Linked DNA regions of Xenopus tropicalis. The protein of the gene in region 1 purifies or fractionates together with the protein of each later gene. This does not show direct contact. Links are inferred from orthologs where the notes say so. Each region holds a gene or a part of one and is shown on either strand. Other genes may lie near its edges.

Region 1 (9,753 bases):
GGCACACACTACACTCGGCTACAGCCAACACACTTACTCCAGACACTAGTCGGCACAAACGCCGGGGTGCTTTATACCAAAATGGTGCATTGGGGGTGTCCTGCACGGGAAGAGCATTCACCGCAGTCTGTCCCAGCGCCAAATAGTAGCGTCGTCGCACACTGCTACGAGGATACTGCTGTCTCTGCTGAAACTCGTCTGTCGGATTGCCGAGGCACATTTGGGGTATGTGAGTGTTGTACACCTGCATGGGATGAACAAGAGTGGTTACATTATATATAAGCAGCTATGCCTTGTAATAAACCCAGAATAGACCCAGCCATGATAGGGGAATATTTCTGACTCTTTTCTTTGCCTCGCTGTACCTACCGGCTGCCTCGCTGTACCTACCGGCTGCCTCGCTGTACCTACCGGCTGCCTCGCTGTACCTACCGGCTGCCTCGCTGTACCTACCGGCTGCCTCGCTGTACCTACGGGCTGCCTCGCTGTACCTACCGGCTGCCTCGCTGTCAGACTCCTTTCTCACACTCTATTACTAATTCTGAGAAATGCACAATGGGAATTACAAGGTGCAATTGTTTTCCGCAATTTGAGGTTTTTTTTTCACTAAAACTCTCAAAACTGGAATTATGGTTCAAAAACACAAATGCCCAACATTTATTAAGTGCCACAAACCCAAAATCGTGAATGTAAAAGTTCTGCATCTAAAAGCTTGCAAGTTTGTGTAGATTTAATGGGAGTTGTCTTAGGCAAAGTCAAGCCGTACCCATGGACAGAATTGATATGGCCTAAAACTGGCCTTAGATAGACCATCAAGTGTATGCCAAGCTTAAGTTTTTCAACGGAAGGACTGAATTTAAAGAACCTCCAGGTACAAACTGTACCAGTACTAATAGGGAACAGGCGTGGGCAACACATGAAGGGGGGGGAAATGGACGGAGTGTAGGTGGGTCTGGCCTTATAATCCATCAGCAGAGAGGGTCAGGGAAGGGAGGGATTTGTAGGGCATTATATATTTATTGGCAATTCCATTGCTGGTAAGTTTGTTATATTGTCCCCGGCCCTTGCTGGTGATTTAATGGCTGGACTAGTCAAATACTGAGTGGTAACCAAGCAACAGCTAAAACACAAAGCAACTGCAAAACATACTACTAATTGAAAGAGAAAGAGAGAGACTTACTTGGCCTTATGTGGATCTTCTACTTCCAAGTCCCAAACATAGAGCTTTCCTACTTGGTTACCCAAGGCCAGCATCTTACAGATAAAAAAAAAAGAATAAAAAATATTGTACAATGCAACATGATGGATAGCAGGGTACATTGGCACTATGCTGTAGCTCTGCTGAACATAATCATACAGCAGGTATACAGCTTCTACAGCCCTCCCTGTTCAGAAAGGATTTTAGGAATATTCTGATTACATCATTTCCCTTTGCTTTTTGGCCTTACTGGTCAGTTTTATAAGATGCTTAAAGAGCATTCTGCAAGAATGCAACTCACTTCTGTGTTTTTTAAAGGAAAACTATACTCCTAACAGTGTAGGTCTCTATAAAAAATATACTGCATAACCAGCTCATATGTAAACCCTGCTTCATCTAAATAAACCATTTTCATATAAATATACTTTATTAGCAGTATGTGCCATTGGGTAATCCTAAATAGGAAACTGCCATTTTAAGTACTAAGGGCCGCCCCCTGGGATCATAGGGTTCACAGAGCACACAAACAAGCCAAGGCACACATACATGCTAGGCCCCATCAGCCAATGAATGGGCAGAGTTCTGCCTTTTACTCCCACACTACTTCCTGTTATAGTTAGAGCTGCATCACTTCCTGTCAGCTGATCTCTGAGGGAGCACACAGCCCATCACTAAATGGCGGCTCAAGGGAAAGGATGTAAAAGGGCAATATTTACTGATATATATATATTCCAGTTTGGCGAGATTCTTTATTAGGTCACTTAATATAAACTGTCTGTTGTTTAGGAATTCATTCTGGGGGAATAGTTTTCCTAGAACTTTTCCTCACAAGACCACAAGACCGACTGCTCTGTAGGTACCTGACCAGGAGCAGGACTCTACTCCCCAAGCTGAAGCTATACTAAAGTCTATGAGAGCACATTTTACAAATGCATACCTTAGCTGCAGGCATAAATATTAGCAATTGACGTGATAAAGATCATCTCAAACTGTTTTAATACAAGAAAGATGGAATGTCACTTACTTTTTGCCAGAAGTCCATGGAAAACCTCATATACCAAATATCACACTGACTGTAATCAAAGCGCCCCAGAATGGTCACGTTGGACTCGCTGGCTTTGATCTTGTCTATATCATCTTCCATTTTACCAGGTTTCCAGCACACGATTGCATTTTCACAAGACTGAAATTACAGAGTAAATGCATTCAGCCTCCTTCTACACAAATATCCATCACCGGGCGGATATCGTATCTGTAGGTCCAGCTGTTGGGCAGGGCCCCTTTATCTCTGGTTGTTGTTTACTGTATGTAACTGTATGATCAATGCATACACAAAGTGATAGCGACAGTAACACTCACCTTAGACAAAATAAGGTCTCCTAACCACCTGACACAATCAACATAGTTTCTGTGTATGTCCCTTGTGGAAAAATCAGGGAAATGGATTTTCTGCGAGACAAATGGCCTGCAATGAGAAAATACAGATTAGTTAGAGAAATCCACTTGTAATACAATTTTAATCTAAAACATTCAATATTTCACTGTAAAAATGTATATAACTCACCTTAATAAATTAGCAAACCCATTTAAGCCATTACTTAAGGAGGACACTGCTCATTTGTGCATTAAAGGGGTTGTTCACCTTTGTACAACATTCACAAATCTAACAGTTCACATTAATAGAATCTTTGCCATATAGTTAACAAAACATGTGCTGCTGAAGAGATATTCACCTTAGAATCATCCCTTCACTTCTGCACAGGCCAAGTACTGGGATGGGGGGGGGGGCAGTGAGGGGGCTGTTCCTGCTGAATTGTGCTTAGTACAGGGGAATCCCTATGTGCCATAGTTTTATGGTATCTCTCTGTACAGGCTATGAGCAAACTTAGGGGGCTGTTCCTGCTGAATTGTGCTTAGTACAGGGGAATCCCTATGTGCCATAGTTTTATGGTATCTCTCTGTACAGGCTATGAGCAAACTTAGGGGGCTGTTCCTGCTGAATTGTGCTTAGTACAGGGGAATCCCTATGTGCCATAGTTTTATGGTATCTCTCTGTACAGGCTATGAGCAAACTTAGGGGGCTGTTCCTGCTGAATTGTGCTTAGTACAGGGGAATCTCTATGCTGCCATAGTTTTATGGTATCTCTCTGTACAGGCTATGAGCAAACTTAGGGGGCTGTTCCTGCTGAATTGTGCTTAGTACAGGGGAATCCCTATGCTGCCATAGTTTTATGGTATCTCTCTGTACAGGCTATGAGCAAACTTAGGGGGCTGTTCCTGCTGAATTGTGCTTAGTACAGGGGAATCCCTATGCTGCCATAGTTTTATGGTATCTCTCTGTACAGGCTATGAGCAAACTTAGGGGGCTGTTCCTGCTGAATTGTGCTTAGTACAGGGGAATCTCTATGCTGCCATAGTTTTATGGTATCTCTCTGTACAGGCTATGAGCAAACTTAGGGGGCTGTTCCTGCTGAATTGTGCTTAGTACAGGGGAATCCCTATGCTGCCATAGTTTTATGGTATCTCTCTGTACAGGCTATGAGCAAACTTAGGGGGCTGTTCCTGCTGAATTGTGCTTAGTACAGGGGAATCCCTATGCTGCCATAGTTTTATGGTATCTCTCTGTACAGGCTATGAGCAAACTTAGGGGGCTGTTCCTGCTGAATTGTGCTTAGTACAGGGGAATCCCTATGCTGCCATAGTTTTATGGTATCTCTCTGTACAGGCTATGAGCAAACTTAGGGAACTATTATAGAACTATTGACAAATAAAGTAGAGGGCTTTACTAAATGGGAATTAATGCATGAATAAATAGCTGCTGTGAGAGACACACACAAACTGACCCTTGCAGCTGCACTGTCAGTTACTGAGCAGACTTTCCAGCTTCTGTGGTTACTATAAGCACTGCTGCCATTTTATTGTATGCCTGTAAGGCTGGTTATTGCTTGGATACCAAACATTGACCTGCGGGGTCCAGAACCGAGCTCAGTCAAGCATCGCATTACCTGTTTGTTTTATTGGGGTTGTATTCGTAAGACTCTCTGATGGCCGTCTTCATTCTTAAAGAATTAATTCTCCAGAGCTTAAGGGAATGGTCCATACCACATGACATGATCTTCTCACCAAGCAAATCATAGTCCTAAGGCAAAGAGGCAGCAAGTTAAGACTGAGCTATGGCTACGTAAAACAATATGAAAATTAAATTCTACATGCTCTATATTAGAAACGTTTTTCCGAAAGAAAATATTTCCGCAACAATAAAGCCTAACAAAATATTCAAGTCAAGAAATCAAAAATCCGTGTGCCCTGAGCTAAACTAGAGAAGAAATGTAGGCGTGAATAAACCCATTAGGCTGGCTGTATGTGGGCCGATACTGAATACTTCTGAGCAAGTCAGCAGCTCATTGGCCCTTTCACTGAGTCAAAACGATAGTCTCATTGCTAATAGGGGAACTCCGGCTTCTGTACCAGAATTTCTTAAAGAGCCCCACACAGCACAGAAACCCCCAATATAGGGATCCCTGTAATCTGTTCAAAAAGAAGGAATAAATACCATTTTTTATGCTAAAATCCAGCTGCAAAACAGTTCTTCTCTTTCTGCATCATCTGAAATCCTGGCAGGGGAGGAGGGACTAAAGCCCTGATGTTACAAATTGTAACAACTTCTCCCCAGCTTACAGACAGCATGCAGTAACTACATAACCCACAATGCATTGCACTGGGATGTTCCTTTCCTTACTGACATCACGTGTGCAGCAGGGGATTGTGGGATTGGGAGGAGGCAGGCTGAGAACAGGCAACTACTGTTACATGTTATTTGAGTCACAAAGTAGTCAGCCAATCAGCAGGGGAACAGGGGGCGGGGCTTAGGGAACTGTTCCAAACCAGATTATTACATTAAACATCATGAAAAGGCTGCATATTTTCTAAGTAAAAATACTTGAATTTATGTTTACTTTTCTAAACGCTTAAGTTGTGTTTGGGTTAATATCTGACTGGGATGAGTTTATATATTGTGCAGGAAAGGGGGACAGCATGCTTCTCTCTCAACAGGTCTACACAGCACTAACACCCCCCCAAATGCAGTATACATACCGCGCTTAACACTTCATCTCTGTGACCTTCCACTCCACCAAAAATGGCTACAAGTGTGTCTGTCTGTATGTTCCAAAGTCTTAGCGCATGATCTGCGGGGGGCATAAAACATGGTGTAAAAAAAATAAGACACATACAAACCAGCAGCCATAGCCTTTAGCGGCACAGAGCTGCTCTTAACCACAGTACATAGAGTTGGTTATGATATAAATTCACTTCTGCACATTATATACAAAAATAAGGTGACCCCCTAGACACTAAAGCTCCACCAACCCCTTCAGAGCTTATACAGTTCCACACCTACCTTTGCTAACTGATAGGAGGAGGTTTGGATCCCTTGGATGAAATTTAAGCTCATTGATAGCATTTCCGTGGCCCACATAGTGCTAGAAGAAAGTGGAAGGAAAATTAAAGATATTATGCATGGTTATATATTCCATGTACAATGCTATTTGCAATCCTACAGAAAAAGGGGGATACTTTTAGTATGATGTACAGAGTAATATTCTGAGACAATTTGCAATTGGTCTTCATTTTTTATTATTTGTGCTTTTTAATTATTACACTTTTTGGTTGCTAGGGTTAAAAATGAATAGGAGAGAACCTGAATAGAAAGATAAGCAATAAAAATTGTAGCCTCACAGAACAGCTTATTTTTGGCTTTTAGGGTCAGTGATCCCCATTTAAGAGTTGGCAAGTGTTAGAAGAAACTATAAAAAACTATAAGACGAATTGCTTAGAACTGGCCATTCTAAAATGTACCTAAAGGTGATCCTTCCCTTTAACACAATCAAATGAGTAAATGAGACAAACAATATATTGAAAGCTGGAGTTTCTGTACAGCTGCAGCATTTAAAATCTGGTGATAGCCGTAAAGACTACTCAACTTGCTTATACAAGAAGGGTATTTAGGGTAGGAACCCACAGAGTGGTTCAGTGGCCCACGACAAACCGCTTTGGAAAGGTTTTCCACCGGCAACTGTAGGAGCCGCCAGTGAAAAGCCCTTTGCATCACTTTGTTTTCCAAAGCCCTGAAGATTTTGCATTACTGAAACAATGTGAAGGGCTTTCCACCGGTGACTCCTACTGTCTCCAGTGGAAAACCTTTCCAAAGCAGTTTGTCGTGGGCCACTGAACCGCTCTGTGAGTTCTTACCCTTAAGCACCGATCTTCAAACAGTGAGGGCAGCATCAAACCCAGACTACAGATTAAGATATCAGCTACTAACAAGCTTGTAAATGATCCCACGGATGCAAGGAAAATCCTCTTACCTTAATACACTGCATAGTAATAGGATTAATTATCCTTATGATCCCTCTAGAACCAGCCACTGCTAGAAGTGGGTGACTTGTGTTGCTGTCGTACGTCCAAGCGCAAGTATAAAAGTTCTCATCTGCCTGAATGTAAGAATTAAGGAGAGAAAAAGCTGTACATGGAATCCGTCGCAGTCCCAGACCCAAGGGCGGAGAGGCACCCCAGTTCATGACACCCACAATTCCCCACTGATAGATAATGTCTGAATCATTAAATTAATTGCTCTTACTGACTATTAGCACACTCCCAGTTAACATGAGGGGTCACAAATACCCAGGTTAAAGATTAGGGATGCACCAAATCCACTATTTTGGGATATGGCCGAACCCTGAATCCATCATAAAAGATTTGGCTAAATAACGAACCCTAATTGGAATATACAAATAAGGCTGTGGAATGGTTAAAGAGAACCATATGCAAAGTACGAGGTGAAAATGTTTCAACTTCCGTGTTTATGTGACAAAAAGGTCATGTGACTTAAAGGATTCTGTTGGGCCAGGTCCATGGACTCAGCTGAATCCTGCTGAAAAAGGCCAAATCCCGAACCAAATCCTGGATTTAATCCTGCAGCGCCGGGTTCCTAGGCTCCTCTGCAAAGAGTCTGTATGTTCTCCCCGAGTTTGTGTGGCTTTTTCTGGGTACCCTGTTTTCCTCCCACACCCAAATACATACAGCCAGGTAACCTGGCTTCTGAAACAACTAGTGTGTGTGTGTGTGTGAATGTGATTGGGAACCTAGATTGTAACCGTGAACAACAATTAACTGCAAATTCCAAATATTTTCAGCAAAAAGCAAAACTCGTCAAGGATACGTCGGCGTCCACATAGGACTGCAGCAGTCGGATTTCCCCCTGTGGGTGGCATTCATATAACGTTACCTATGTGAGAAAAACAAACATTCTTAGAACAGAGGGGCCACGGATATGCATAGCGATATCTCGCAGAAATATACAGAAAGCCGGAACACCTTATAATATATAATAGTATATATAGTATATAATAGTAGCAATGTCCTAAATGTCCCTGCCGGAAGCACAGTAAAAGGGGGAGAGCCAATCACAGCCCAGCAGTCACACAAGCAAAGGAAGGCTCCAGTTCCCTATCAGGTCAGCCTAGCTGCTGATTGGTTCCTATCCTACAGTGCAGTGTGCTGAGTGCCACTGGCCCCCCTGCACAGCCCGGGAAAGAAGGCAGCAGGAAGTGGAACAGATGGGCGGGACTAGTGGGGTTTTTGTTGAAATTTCTAATAAATCAGCCCTAAACAGTACATTTGAAAACACATTCCTTCTATGAGTCCAATTCATATTGTTTTTCACACACTATGTCCCCTTTACATCAAAATTTCAAATGAGAAAAACATCCCAATGGACTTGCATTCTGCAACACCATTTCAAAAAGTAGTGTGCCTAGGTGCAATTATATCATCAATAACCAACGCAGACCAAATATTAATGAATAGAAAGCAGGAAAATACAAGGCATCAATTACCAACACGACTGCTGCATTGCACCGGGGCAATAACCCATAGTTTGAAGGGGAGGGATTCCTTTGTTTCACTAGAATGATCTAAGGAAATATCCTTAGATCATTCTAGTGGAACGAAGGAATCCCTCCCCTTCAAACAAAACAGGGATTGTTACTCCATATATAGCAATATATTTAGGCTGGCCAACTACATCAAATATGAATTGTGTGGTCACAGCCTCATTGCACCCCCGCCTAATGGTTTAAAATGCAGTGTTGAGCACAACTTTCCCTTTGTTGCCTCCTAACTAGAAATTCAAAAATAAGCACCAGCTTTGAGGCCACTGGGAGCAACATCCAAGGGGTTGGGGAGCAACATGGTGCTAACGACCCACTGGTTGGGGATCACTGCCCTAGAGCAATAGCTGCAAAAAGCCTCATTAACATTTTTATAAACAAGTTTTTACCTTATACTTGCATTATTAAATCTTTATGTAAAGGAACAGTAATGCCTCCCAGGCAAATTTTTCGTTTTGGCCTCTTTAATCACTTTATTGACACTCCATAAAACTATACATATTTGGCATTGGCACATTCATGAATCATGCAGATTTCGAAATCAGTTTTATTCAGTAAATAGTATCAGTATTTTCACATATAGAACATTTTAGTGATATATCCCTATATAAACACATCTTATGCAAACTGGCAACATCTATTTTTTTTTTTTTAGACCCATAAGAAGTGGAATTAAACAAAACAATTAGAAAGTCCAGGTTCTATAAAAAAAAATAGATGTATAGTTTTACTAGGCAAACTAATTCCCCTTAAGTGAAATGACTGGCAAATGAAAGGGAAACCCTGCCCCAGCTGCCCCCTCATTGTAAATAGCTTGCCATCACATTCCCATACATACCCTGTTACTTCCAACAGTAGCGAAAACCAGCGGGTCTCCCTCCTTACTGTGCCAGTTAAACTGAACCCCAAACAGTGGCTGATTGTGATCTTCCTGCAGGAATGGAAAAAAAAAAACACCATTGCATAATAAGCACAAATTGATTTTGTGGCTGAATAATCTAATGCAACAGAAATTTTCCACCCACTTTACACTAGGAAAAAGAAATGTAAATAAGAGGATTAATCAGCTTGCTAAATAACCTGCTTCAATTTAAAGAAACAGTGACCCCAAAAAATGAAAGTGTATAAAAGTAATTAGAATATAATGTATTGGTAACAACTGGGGTGTTTGGCTCTTAAACCCTACTATAGTTTATATAACCAAAGCTGCTGTGTAGCCCCAGGGGCAGCCATTCAAAGGAGAGAAGGCACAGGTTAGAGAGCTTATCAGTTATCTGCTATGTAACCTGTGCCTTTTCTCCTATTTTCCAGCACGAATGGCTGCCCCCGGAGCTACACAGCGGGGTATTTATATAAACTATAGTAGGGTTTCTGTAGCAAACACCCCAGCTGTACCAGTGCAGGAATGGCTGCCCCCGGGGCTACACAGCGGGGTATTTATATAAACTATAGTAGGGTTTCTGTAGCAAACACCCCAGCTGTACCAGTGCAGGAATGGCTGCCCCCGGGGCTACACAGCGGGGTATTTATATAAACTATAGTAGGGTTTCTGTAGCAAACACCCCAGCTGTACCAGTGCAGGAATGGCTGCCCCCGGGGCTACAC
Region 2 (10,407 bases), on another chromosome or scaffold:
TTACTCGCCAGCAGGGGGGGGGGACGTCACTTACATTCGTCTTCGCCACGTGATTTGCCCCCGGCAGTTTTATACCCCCCTCACCTGGGGCTTTTAACAGAAACACGATAGAGTTTTCCAGCGGATTTGTACAATAGATATATTTATATTTAATAAGGGCGCCCCCTAGAGGCTCCGCCGGATCCCCGCGCCCCCACCTGGTTGCAATAGGGAGACACTGGGGCTTTTCAGTTCTTCCGGGGGGGGCGGGGGGGGGTTGTACAGCAATAAGAGGGGCAGAAGTGTATAAATGTAATTATCGGGGCGCCCGGTGTATCGAGTGCAGCAGCAGAATATTATTTCTTTTATAAACAAATAAATGTCCATCTTGTTTTATTGGCTCATTCCTTCCACTTATTTGTATAGATCCGCCCCTTTCCCAACCCACTTTCCTTATGGCTCCGCCCTTTCTGTCTCTGGGTCGGTACCGGGGGGTTATTGGGCCAATCTGGGCCCAGAGTAAAACCCAGAACTGGCGCTGAATGTCCCACACGGTCCAGTTGTTCCTTAAAGGGACGGTACCGCTGGTTTGGACCTTTCTGCCCGGCGTCTGTGTGAGCTCCTGAATGGAGGAAATGTACCAACTGGGGCGGTCCGACTCTCAGCCAATGAGAAACGGGGAAAATAAAGCGATTTATAGACACGTTCTGTCTGTCTGTCTCACTCTCTGTCTGTCTCACTCTCTGTCTGTCTCACTCTCTGTCTGTCTCACTCTCTGTCTCACTCTCTGTCTGTCTGTCTCACTCTCTGTCTGTCTGTCTCACTCTCTGTCTGTCTGTCTCACTCTCTGTCTGTCTGTCTCACTCTCTGTCTGTCTGTCTCACTCTCTGTCTGTCTGTCTCACTCTCTGTCTGTCTGTCTCACTCTCTGTCTGTCTCACTCTCTGTCTGTCTGTCTCACTCTCTGTCTGTCTGTCTCTCTGTCTGTCTGTCTCACTCTCTGTCTGTCTGTCTCACTCTCTGTCTCACTCTCTGTCTGTCTGTCTCACTCTCTGTCTCACTCTCTGTCTGTCTGTCTCACTCTCTGTCTCACTCTCTGTCTGTCTGTCTCACTCTCTGTCTGTCTGTCTCACTCTCTGTCTGTCTGTCTCTCTGTCTGTCTGTCTCACTCTGTCTGTCTGTCTTACTCTCTGTCTGTCTGTCTCACTCTCTGTCTGTCTTACTCTCTGTCTGTCTTACTCTCTGTCTGTCTCACTCTCTGTCTGTCTCACTCTCTGTCTGTCTCACTCTCTGTCTGTCTCACTCTCTGTCTGTCTCTCACTCTCTTTGTCTGTCTCTCACTCTCTTTGTCTGTCTCTCACTCTCTTTGTCTGTCTCTCACTCTCTTTGTCTGTCTCTCACTCTCTTTGTCTGTCTCTCACTCTCTTTGTCTGTCTCTCACTCTCTTTGTCTGTCTCTCACTCTCTTTGTCTGTCTCTCACTCTCTTTGTCTGTCTCACTCTTTTGTGACTGTCTCTTACTCTCTGTCCACCTGTCTCACTCTTTGCCTGTCTCACTGTCTCTTTCTCCCTCACTCTGTGTCTGTCTCTCACTATGTCTCTCTGTCTCACTCTCTTTCCTTCCCTCTGATCACTGCTGGGACTCTCTGCTCTTCTCCAGTTGAATTTCCCAGCATTCCCATAACTACCCCTGTGGGAAGCAGCAGGGAGGGGCTAATAGGGCAGATATTGGGGCTCTTATCAACAATACTGAATCCCATAGCGACCAATCAGTGATTTGCTTTCTCCAGCCAGCTGCAGGTAGAACAACGACTGCAACAGTTTGATTGGTTGCCATGGGTTACTGCCTGGGGCAAATTTGCCCAGTGTTAAATAAATGCCCCCTATTGGATGTTGCTCAGATTTACCTGTGACTTCTCTGCTGCAGAAATAGGGAGATTCTGTCATCAGCAACTTAGACTTTTCTATCAGTTTCCCTGTGACTCCTCCCCCATACCCCACCCCCCCCCCCCCCCCCCACATATGCACAGGAAGCAGAGACAGTCACACGGGTACCGGGAAATACACTCCCCCGTGCACAGGAAGCAGAGACAGTCACACGGGTACCGGGAAATACACTCCCCCGTGCACAGGAAGCAGAGACAGTCACACGGGTACCAGGAAATACACTCCCCCGTGCAAAGGAAGCAGAGACAGTCACACGGGTACCGGGAAATACACTCCCCCGTGCAAAGGAAGCAGAGACAGTCACACGGGTACCAGGAAATACACTCCCCCGTGCAAAGGAAGCAGAGACAGTCACACGGGTACCGGGAAATACACTTCCCCGTGCAAAGGAAGCAGAGACAGTCACACGGGTACCGGGAAATACACTCCCCCGTGCAAAGGAAGCAGAGACAGTCACACGGGTACCGGGAAATACACTCCCCCGTGCAAAGGAAGCAGAGACAGTCACACGGGTACCGGGAAATACACTTCCCCGTGCAAAGGAAGCAGAGACAGTCACACGGGTACCGGGAAATACACTTCCCCGTGCAAAGGAAGCAGAGACAGTCACACGGGTACCAGGAAATACACTTCCCCGTGCAAAGGAAGCAGAGACAGTCACACGGGTACCAGGAAATACACTCCCCCGTGCAAAGGAAGCAGAGACAGTCACACGGGTACCGGGAAATACACTCCCCCGTGCAAAGGAAGCAGAGACAGTCACACGGGTACCAGGAAATACACTCCCCCGTGCAAAGGAAGCAGAGACAGTCACACGGGTACCGGGAAATACACTCCCCCGTGCACAGGAAGCAGAGACAGTCACACAGGTACCGGGAAATACACTCCCCCGTGCAAAGGAAGTAGAGACAGTCACACGGGTACCGGGAAATACACTCCCCCGTGCACAGGAAGCAGAGACAGTCACACGGGTACCGGGAAATACACTCCCCCGTGCAAAGGAAGCAGAGACAGTCACATGGGTACCGGGAAATACACTCCCCCGTGCAAAGGAAGCAGAGACAGTCACATGGGTACCGGGAAATACACTCCCCGTGCAAAGGAAGCAGAGACAGTAAACACGGGTACCGGGAAATACACTCCCCCCGTGCAAAGGAAGCAGAGACAGTCACACGGGTACCGGGAAATACACTCCCCCCGTGCAAAGGAAGCAGAGACAGTCACACGGGTACCGGGAAATACACTCCCCCCGTGCAAAGGAAGCAGAGACAGTCACACGGGTACCGGGAAATACACTCCCCCGTGCAAAGGAAGCAGAGACAGTCACATGGGTACCGGGAAATACACTCCCCCGTGCAAAGGAAGCAGAGACAGTCACATGGGTACCGGGAAATACACTCCCCCGTGCAAAGGAAGCAGAGACAGTCACATGGGTACCGGGAAATACACTCCCCCGTGCAAAGGAAGCAGAGACAGTCACACGGGTACCGGGAAATACACTCCCCCGTGCACAGGAAGCAGAGACAGTCACACGGGTACCAGGAAATACACTCCCCCCGTGCAAAGGAAGCAGAGACAGTCACATGGGTACCAGGAAATACACTCCCCCGTGCAAAGGAAGCAGAGACAGTCACATGGGTACCGGGAAATACACTCCCCCGTGCAAAGGAAGCAGAGACAGTCACACGGGTACCAGGAAATACACTCCCCCGTGCAAAGGAAGCAGAGACAGTCACATGGGTACCAGGAAATACACTCCCCCGTGCAAAGGAAGCAGAGACAGTCACACGGGTACCAGGAAATACACTCCCCCGTGCAAAGGAAGCAGAGACAGTCACACGGGTACCAGGAAATACACTCCCCCGTGCAAAGGAAGCAGAGACAGTCACATGGGTACCAGGAAATACACTCCCCCGTGCAAAGGAAGCAGAGACAGTCACACGGGTACCAGGAAATACACTCCCCCGTGCAAAGGAAGCAGAGACAGTCACATGGGTACCGGGAAATACACTCCCCCGTGCAAAGGAAGTAGAGACAGTCACATGGGTACCAGGAAATACACTCCCCCATGCAAAGGAAGCAGAGACAGTCACATGGGTACCGGGAAATACACTCCCCCGTGCAAAGGAAGCAGAGAGAGTCACATGGGTACCGGGAAATACACTCCCCCGTGCAAAGGAAGCAGAGACAGTCACATGGGTACCAGGAAATACACTCCCCCGTGCAAAGGAAGCAGAGACAGTCACACGGGTACCGGGAAATACACTCCCCCGTGCAAAGGAAGCAGAGAGAGTCACATGGGTACCGGGAAATACACTCCCCCGTCTCTACTTCCCTTGCACAGGGGAATCTATTCCCTAGAACTGGTGTGAATATCTCCACTTCCTGTCTGGTAGAGAAACGGCAGCCCAGGTTTGCTTTATGGCAGGTCAGAGCTTTGTTCTTAAACGGAAACAATCAGTTACCCTTTATGGAATAGGATGAATTACAGCACTGCTGGGAGAGGAGGCCAGAGCCTGATTGAGAAAGGAGAGCGGAGCAGTGTATGGAATGTAAGTCCCCACTAGGGGGCAGTATGGGAAGATATAACAGTAGGAGGAGCCTAAGAGCCTCTCGTCCAATAACTAGAAGCCTTTCCTCTCCCGGCCCAGTAAGAGTTCCGCTTCTCACTCCGCTTTGGCCCTCTACGGGCGCCGTAACGCATGCTGCCGCAGTCTCCGCCCCAAGCCCCGCCCCGCCGCTAAGGGAAGCTCCGAGCTTAGTGACAAGATGGCCGCCGCCTCCTCTTGCTCCGAGCCCTCCGCGCCCCCCGCCGGCTCCTCCAGCCCCCCTCCCGCCCAGCCTGCCGTGCCCCCGCCCGGGGAAGAGGAGGACGAGGCGGACGATGAGAGCAGCAGGAGCTCCGGGTCGGAGCGTCCCGACAGCCCAGCGGGACAGGAGAGTCAGGGCCCCGGGGGGGGAACCGGCAGCTCCGGAGCGGGGAGCCTGGCTGTGTCCGAGGGGGAACCGCTCAGCCGCATGGACTCGGAGGACAGGTCAGTGCCCCAGGGGCAATTGGATTGGGGCAGGTACTTGGGGGCAATTGTGGTGGCAGCAGGGAGAATGGGGGCGGGGTTAGTAGGGTAGGGGGCGGGGTTAGTAGGGTAGGCTGGGCTCTGGGGGCAGATACAGTTGGGTCATTGGACTGAGGGGGAATAGAAATGAGGGGCAGTTACATTATGGGAGGGGTAGTTAGAGGGCAGGATGGGGCAGTATTCATTACCTGGGTAGGAATAGATAACATGGAGCTGGGGCAGTTACATTATGGGAGGGGTAGTTAGAGGGCAGGATGGGGCAGTATTCATTACCTGGGTAGGAATAGATAACATGGAGCTGGGGCAGTTACACAGGGGGGGGTTAGTACTGAGGCACTATATGTTCTGCCCCTAGGGGGCTGCACTCACATTCCCTGGGGTTGGATAGGGCAGGGGAGGATGATGGGAAGTGTAGTCCTGTCACATGTCACGGTGGGGGCGGGGCAGTAAGTGGGGCAGGTTGTACTTGAGCAAATGAGAATCCGATCTATTGAGCCCTCTGTTTCCACCTCTGGGGCACTTACCAGATCTGCCCCCCCCAGTGTTAGCGATTGGTCGGTACCCCACTGGCCCTTTGGCCCTCACAGTGACCGGGGCCCCGCTGGTTCCTTCTGTCCCCTCAGTCTTATGGGGAAAGGTTCAGTCCTTGCCTTGTCCAGCCGCCCGGAACTACCCCACCCGGGGGGATATATCACTCTCTGTAGCAACAGCCCCTGTGAGTAAGTAGTGCACTCATGTATAGGGGCAACATTCATTAGCAATTGCCTCATTAGCCTGAGGGGCAATTGTACTCTATGTGCCCCTCTCACCTCTGTCTGCCCCGACTGTCAGGGTCCCCAATTCTCTGTACTTCCTGCTCCTGGGCTGCTCTCTTTCCCATGGTCAGGCAGGAACCTCCCCCTGGGTAAGTGAATCCAATCTCCCCCCAGTACTTACCCAGGTACAGAGCTCTGATTCTCTGTACTTCCTGCTCCTGGGCTGCTCTCTTTCCCATGGTCAGGCAGGAACCTCCCCCTGGGTAAGTGAATCCAATCTCCCCCCAGTACTTACCCAGGTACAGAGCTCTGATTCTCTGTACTTCCTGCTCCTGGGCTGCTCTCTTTCCCATGGTCAGGCAGGAACCTCCCCCTGGGTAAGTGAATCCTGTTGGGGGGCAGTATAGCCCAGTAACCCCTGCTTGTTGCCCCACAGTATCAGCAGTACCCTGATGGATGTGGACAGTGTGGTCTCCAGTGGGCGCTCGACTCCCGCCATGATGAACGGCCAAAGCATGATCAGCACGTCGGCCAATAAGAGCCTCTCTTACAGCTGCTGCTGGGACCAATGTCAGACCACCTTCTCCTGCAGCCCCGACCTGGCCGACCACATTCGCTCTTTCCACGTGGATGGGCAGCACGGGGGGGTGAGTGCTCATTGGTTCTCTGCAACGTGGGGCGGGGCATTCCCTCTCTGTATATTTGTATTTATACATATGGGTAGGGGGTGCCATAGTGTTTCCCTTAGACAGTACAGTATGGGGGTACAGCTTATTGTGTGCCCAGAGCATTCCTTCTCTGTATATTTGTATTTATACATATGGGTAGGGGGTGCCATAGTGTTTCCCTTAGACAGTACAGTATGGGGGTGGGGCTTATTGTGTGCCCAGAACATTCCCTCTCTGTATATTTGTATTTATACATATGGGTAGGGGGTGCCATAGTGTTTCCCTTAGACAGTACAGTATGGGGGTACAGCTTATTGTGTGCCCAGAACATTCCCTCTCTGTATATTTGTATTTATACATATGGGTAGGGGGTGCCATAGTGTTTCCCTTAGACAGTACAGTATGGGGGTGGGGCTTATTGTGTGCCCAGAACATTCCCTCTCTGTATATTTGTATTTATACATATGGGTAGGGGGTGCCATAGTGTTTCCCTTAGACAGTACAGTATGGGGGTACAGCTTATTGTGTGCCCAGAACATTCCCTCTCTGTATATTTGTATTTATACATATGGGTAGGTGGTGCCATAGTGTTTCCCTTAGACAGTACAGTATGGGGGTACAGCTTATTGTGTGCCCAGAACATTCCCTCTCTGTATATTTGTATTTATACATATGGGTAGGGGTGCCATAGTGTTTTCCCTTAGACAGTACAGTATGGGGGTACAGCTTATTGTGTGCCCAGAACATTCCTTCTCTGTATATTTGTATTTATACATATGGGTAGGGGGTGCCATAGTGTTTCCCTTAGACAGTACAGTATGGGGGTACAGCTTATTGTGTGCCCAGAACATTCCCTCTCTGTATATTTGTATTTATACATATGGGTAGGGGGTGCCATAGTGTTTCCCTTAGACAGTACAGTATGGGGGTACAGCTTATTGTGTGCCCAGAGCATTCCCTCTCTGTATATTTGTATTTATACATATGGGTAGGGGGTGCCATAGTGTTTCCCTTAGACAGTACAGTATGGGGGTACAGCTTATTGTGTGCCCAGAACATTCCTTCCCTGTATATTTGTATTTATACATATGGGTAGGGGGTGCCATAGTGTTTCCCTTAGACAGTACAGTATGGGGGTACAGCTTATTGTGTGCCCAGAACATTCCTTCTCTGTATATTTGTATTTATACATATGGGTAGGGGGTGCCATAGTGTTTCCCTTAGACAGTACAGTATGGGGGTACAGCTTATTGTGTGCCCAGAACATTCCTTCTCTGTATATTTGTATTTATACATATGGGAGGGAGGTGCCATAGTGTTTCCCTTAGACAGTACAGTATGGGGGTACAGCTTATTGTGTGCCCAGAACATTCCCTCTCTGTATATTTGTATTTATACATATGGGTAGGAGGTGCCATAGTGTTTCCCTTAGACAGTACAGTATGGGGGTACAGCTTATTGTGTGCCCAGAACATTCCCTCTCTGTATATTTGTATTTATACATATGGGTAGGGGGTGCCATAGTGTTTCCCTTAGACAGTACAGTATGGGGGTACAGCTTATTGTGTGCCCAGAACATTCCTTCTCTGTATATTTGTATTTATACATATGGGTAGGGGGTGCCATAGTGTTTCCCTTAGACAGTACAGTATGGGGGTACAGCTTATTGTGTGCCCAGAACATTCCCTCTCTGTATATTTGTATTTATACATATGGGTAGGAGGTGCCATAGTGTTTCCCTTAGACAGTACAGTATGGGGGTACAGCTTATTGTGTGCCCAGAACATTCCCTCTCTGTATATTTGTATTTATACATATGGGTAGGGGGTGCCATAGTGTTTCCCTTAGACAGTACAGTATGGGGGTACAGCTTATTGTGTGCCCAGAACATTCCTTCTCTGTATATTTGTATTTATACATATGGGTAGGGGGTGCCATAGTGTTTCCCTTAGACAGTACAGTATGGGGGTACAGCTTATTGTGTGCCCAGAACATTCCTTCTCTGTATATTTGTATTTATACATATGGGTAGGGGGTGCCATAGTGTTTCCCTTAGACAGTACAGTATGGGGGTACAGCTTATTGTGTGCCCAGAACATTCCCTCTCTGTATATTTGTATTTATACATATGGGTAGGGGGTGCCATAGTGTTTCCCTTAGACAGTACAGTATGGGGGTACAGCTTATTGTGTGCCCAGAACATTCCCTCTCTGTATATTTGTATTTATACATATGGGTAGGAGGTGCCATAGTGTTTCCCTTAGACAGTACAGTATGGGGGTACAGCTTATTGTGTGCCCAGAACATTCCCTCTCTGTATATTTGTATTTATACATATGGGGGGGGGCCTGTGTAGGTGGGGCACTAACCCCCGGCCGTGTTGCTCGGGGCACTAACCCCCGGCTGTGTATGTTACAGGTGTACGTGTGCTACTGGAAGGGCTGCAAGGTGTATAATACCCCATCTACGAGTCAGAGTTGGCTGCAGAGGCACATGCTGACCCACAGCGGAGACAAACCCTTCAAGGTATTGTGGGAACGGCCAATCGGGCAATGTGTAAGCTCCTCCTTCCTGTATAAGCTCCTCCTTCCTGGGAAGGCCCAGCCCATTACTGCTATTGGGCAGCAGCACTGCACTGGGCTAATCCATAATGGGGGAGGAGCCAGAGAGAAGGGGGCTGAGACAGGGGAACAGGCGGTGCTGCACCCACAGATCCCAGCAGCGCCCCAAGGTACCGTCTGTGTCGGGGGGGGGGCCCCAGGGGCTAAATGTCCCACTATAATTGGGGGGTAAGTGCAGGCTGAGGGGCTACACACTGGGGGGCACAGCAGCTGCACATTGGGGCACCTTAGGGCCGACAGTGAGTTTGTGGGGGGGGACCCTGGGCTCGGTACTGAGGCAAAGTCTTGTTTGATTGACAGTGCGTCGTTGGCGGCTGCAATGCCAGCTTTGCCTCCCAGGGCGGCTTGGCCCGGCACGTGCCCACTCACTTCAGCCAACAGAACTCCTCCAAGATGGCCAATCACTCCAAGTCCAAGGAGGAGTCGCCGTCCAAAGCCGGACTGAACCGCAAGCGCAAGCTGAAGATCAAGCGGAAACGCACCCTCCGTAAGTGCCCCCCCTGGTACGGAACCTTCTGTGTTCTCCCCCCCTGGTACGGAACCTTATGTGTTTTTCTCCCCCCCCCCTGGTACGGAACCTTCTGTGTTCTCCCCCCCCCTGGTACGGAACCTTATGTGTTCTCCCCCCCCCCTGGTACGGAACCTTATGTGTTCTCCCCCCCCCCCAGTACGGAACCTTATGTGTTCTCCCCCCCCTGGTACGGAACCTTCTGTGTTCTCCCCCCCCCCCTGGTACGGAACCTTCTGTGTTCTCCCCCCCCTGGTACGGAACCTTATGTGTTCTCCCCCCCCCCCCCCCCCCCCCAGTACGGAACCTTATGTGTTCTCCCCCCCCCCTGGTACGGAACCTTCTGTGTTCTCCCCCCCCCCTGGTACGGAACCTTCTGTGTTCTTCCCCCCCTGGTCGGAACCTTATGTGCCCCCCCTGGTACGGAACCTGCTGTGTTCTTCCCCCCCTGGTACGGAACCTTATGTGCCCCCCTGGTACGGAACCTTCTGTTTCTTTCCCCCCCCCCTGGTACGGAACCTTAATGTGCCCCCCCTGGTACAGAACCTTCTGTGTTCTTCCCCCCCTGGTACGGAACCTTATGTGTTCTCCTCCCCCCCCTGGTACGGAACCTTATGTGTTCTTCCCCCCCCTGGTACGGAACCTTCTGTGTTCTCCCCCCCCTGGTATGGAACCTTATGTGTTCTCCCCCCCCTGGTACGGAACCTTATGTGTTCTCCTCCCCCCCTGGTACGGAACCTTCTGTGTTCTCCCCCCCCCCCCGGTACGGAACCTTATGTGTTCTCCCCCCCCCCTGGTAACGGAACCTTAATGTGTTCTCAACCCCCCCCCCTGGTATGGAACCTGCTGTGTTCTCC

The links. The genes of interacting proteins can lie anywhere in the genome.
Region 2: the proteins of eed (region 1) and aebp2 purify together in Homo sapiens (affinity purification with mass spectrometry; 6 studies listed by BioGRID and IntAct, counting the BioPlex papers as one, with this or other methods). This does not show direct contact. The link is inferred for Xenopus tropicalis from reciprocal best matches to the Homo sapiens genes EED and AEBP2.

What each region holds. Positions count from the first base shown.
Region 1 is NC_030678.2:168,810,126-168,819,878, forward strand, and holds part of eed (polycomb protein eed), read right to left. Parts: intron 9,080-9,753; coding exon 8,987-9,079; intron 7,485-8,986; coding exon 7,419-7,484; intron 6,691-7,418; coding exon 6,565-6,690; intron 5,680-6,564; coding exon 5,598-5,679; intron 5,386-5,597; coding exon 5,294-5,385; intron 4,338-5,293; coding exon 4,204-4,337; intron 2,664-4,203; coding exon 2,558-2,663; intron 2,382-2,557; coding exon 2,223-2,381; intron 1,255-2,222; coding exon 1,181-1,254; intron 245-1,180; coding exon 118-244; 3' UTR 1-117. UniProt on the Homo sapiens protein: Polycomb group (PcG) protein. Component of the PRC2/EED-EZH2 complex, which methylates 'Lys-9' and 'Lys-27' of histone H3, leading to transcriptional repression of the affected target gene.
Region 2 is NC_030679.2:752,161-762,567, forward strand, and holds the start of aebp2 (zinc finger protein AEBP2), read left to right. Parts: upstream 1-4,562; 5' UTR 4,563-4,693; coding exon 4,694-4,959; intron 4,960-6,189; coding exon 6,190-6,400; intron 6,401-8,839; coding exon 8,840-8,947; intron 8,948-9,342; coding exon 9,343-9,529; intron 9,530-10,407. UniProt on the Homo sapiens protein: Acts as an accessory subunit for the core Polycomb repressive complex 2 (PRC2), which mediates histone H3K27 (H3K27me3) trimethylation on chromatin leading to transcriptional repression of the affected target gene.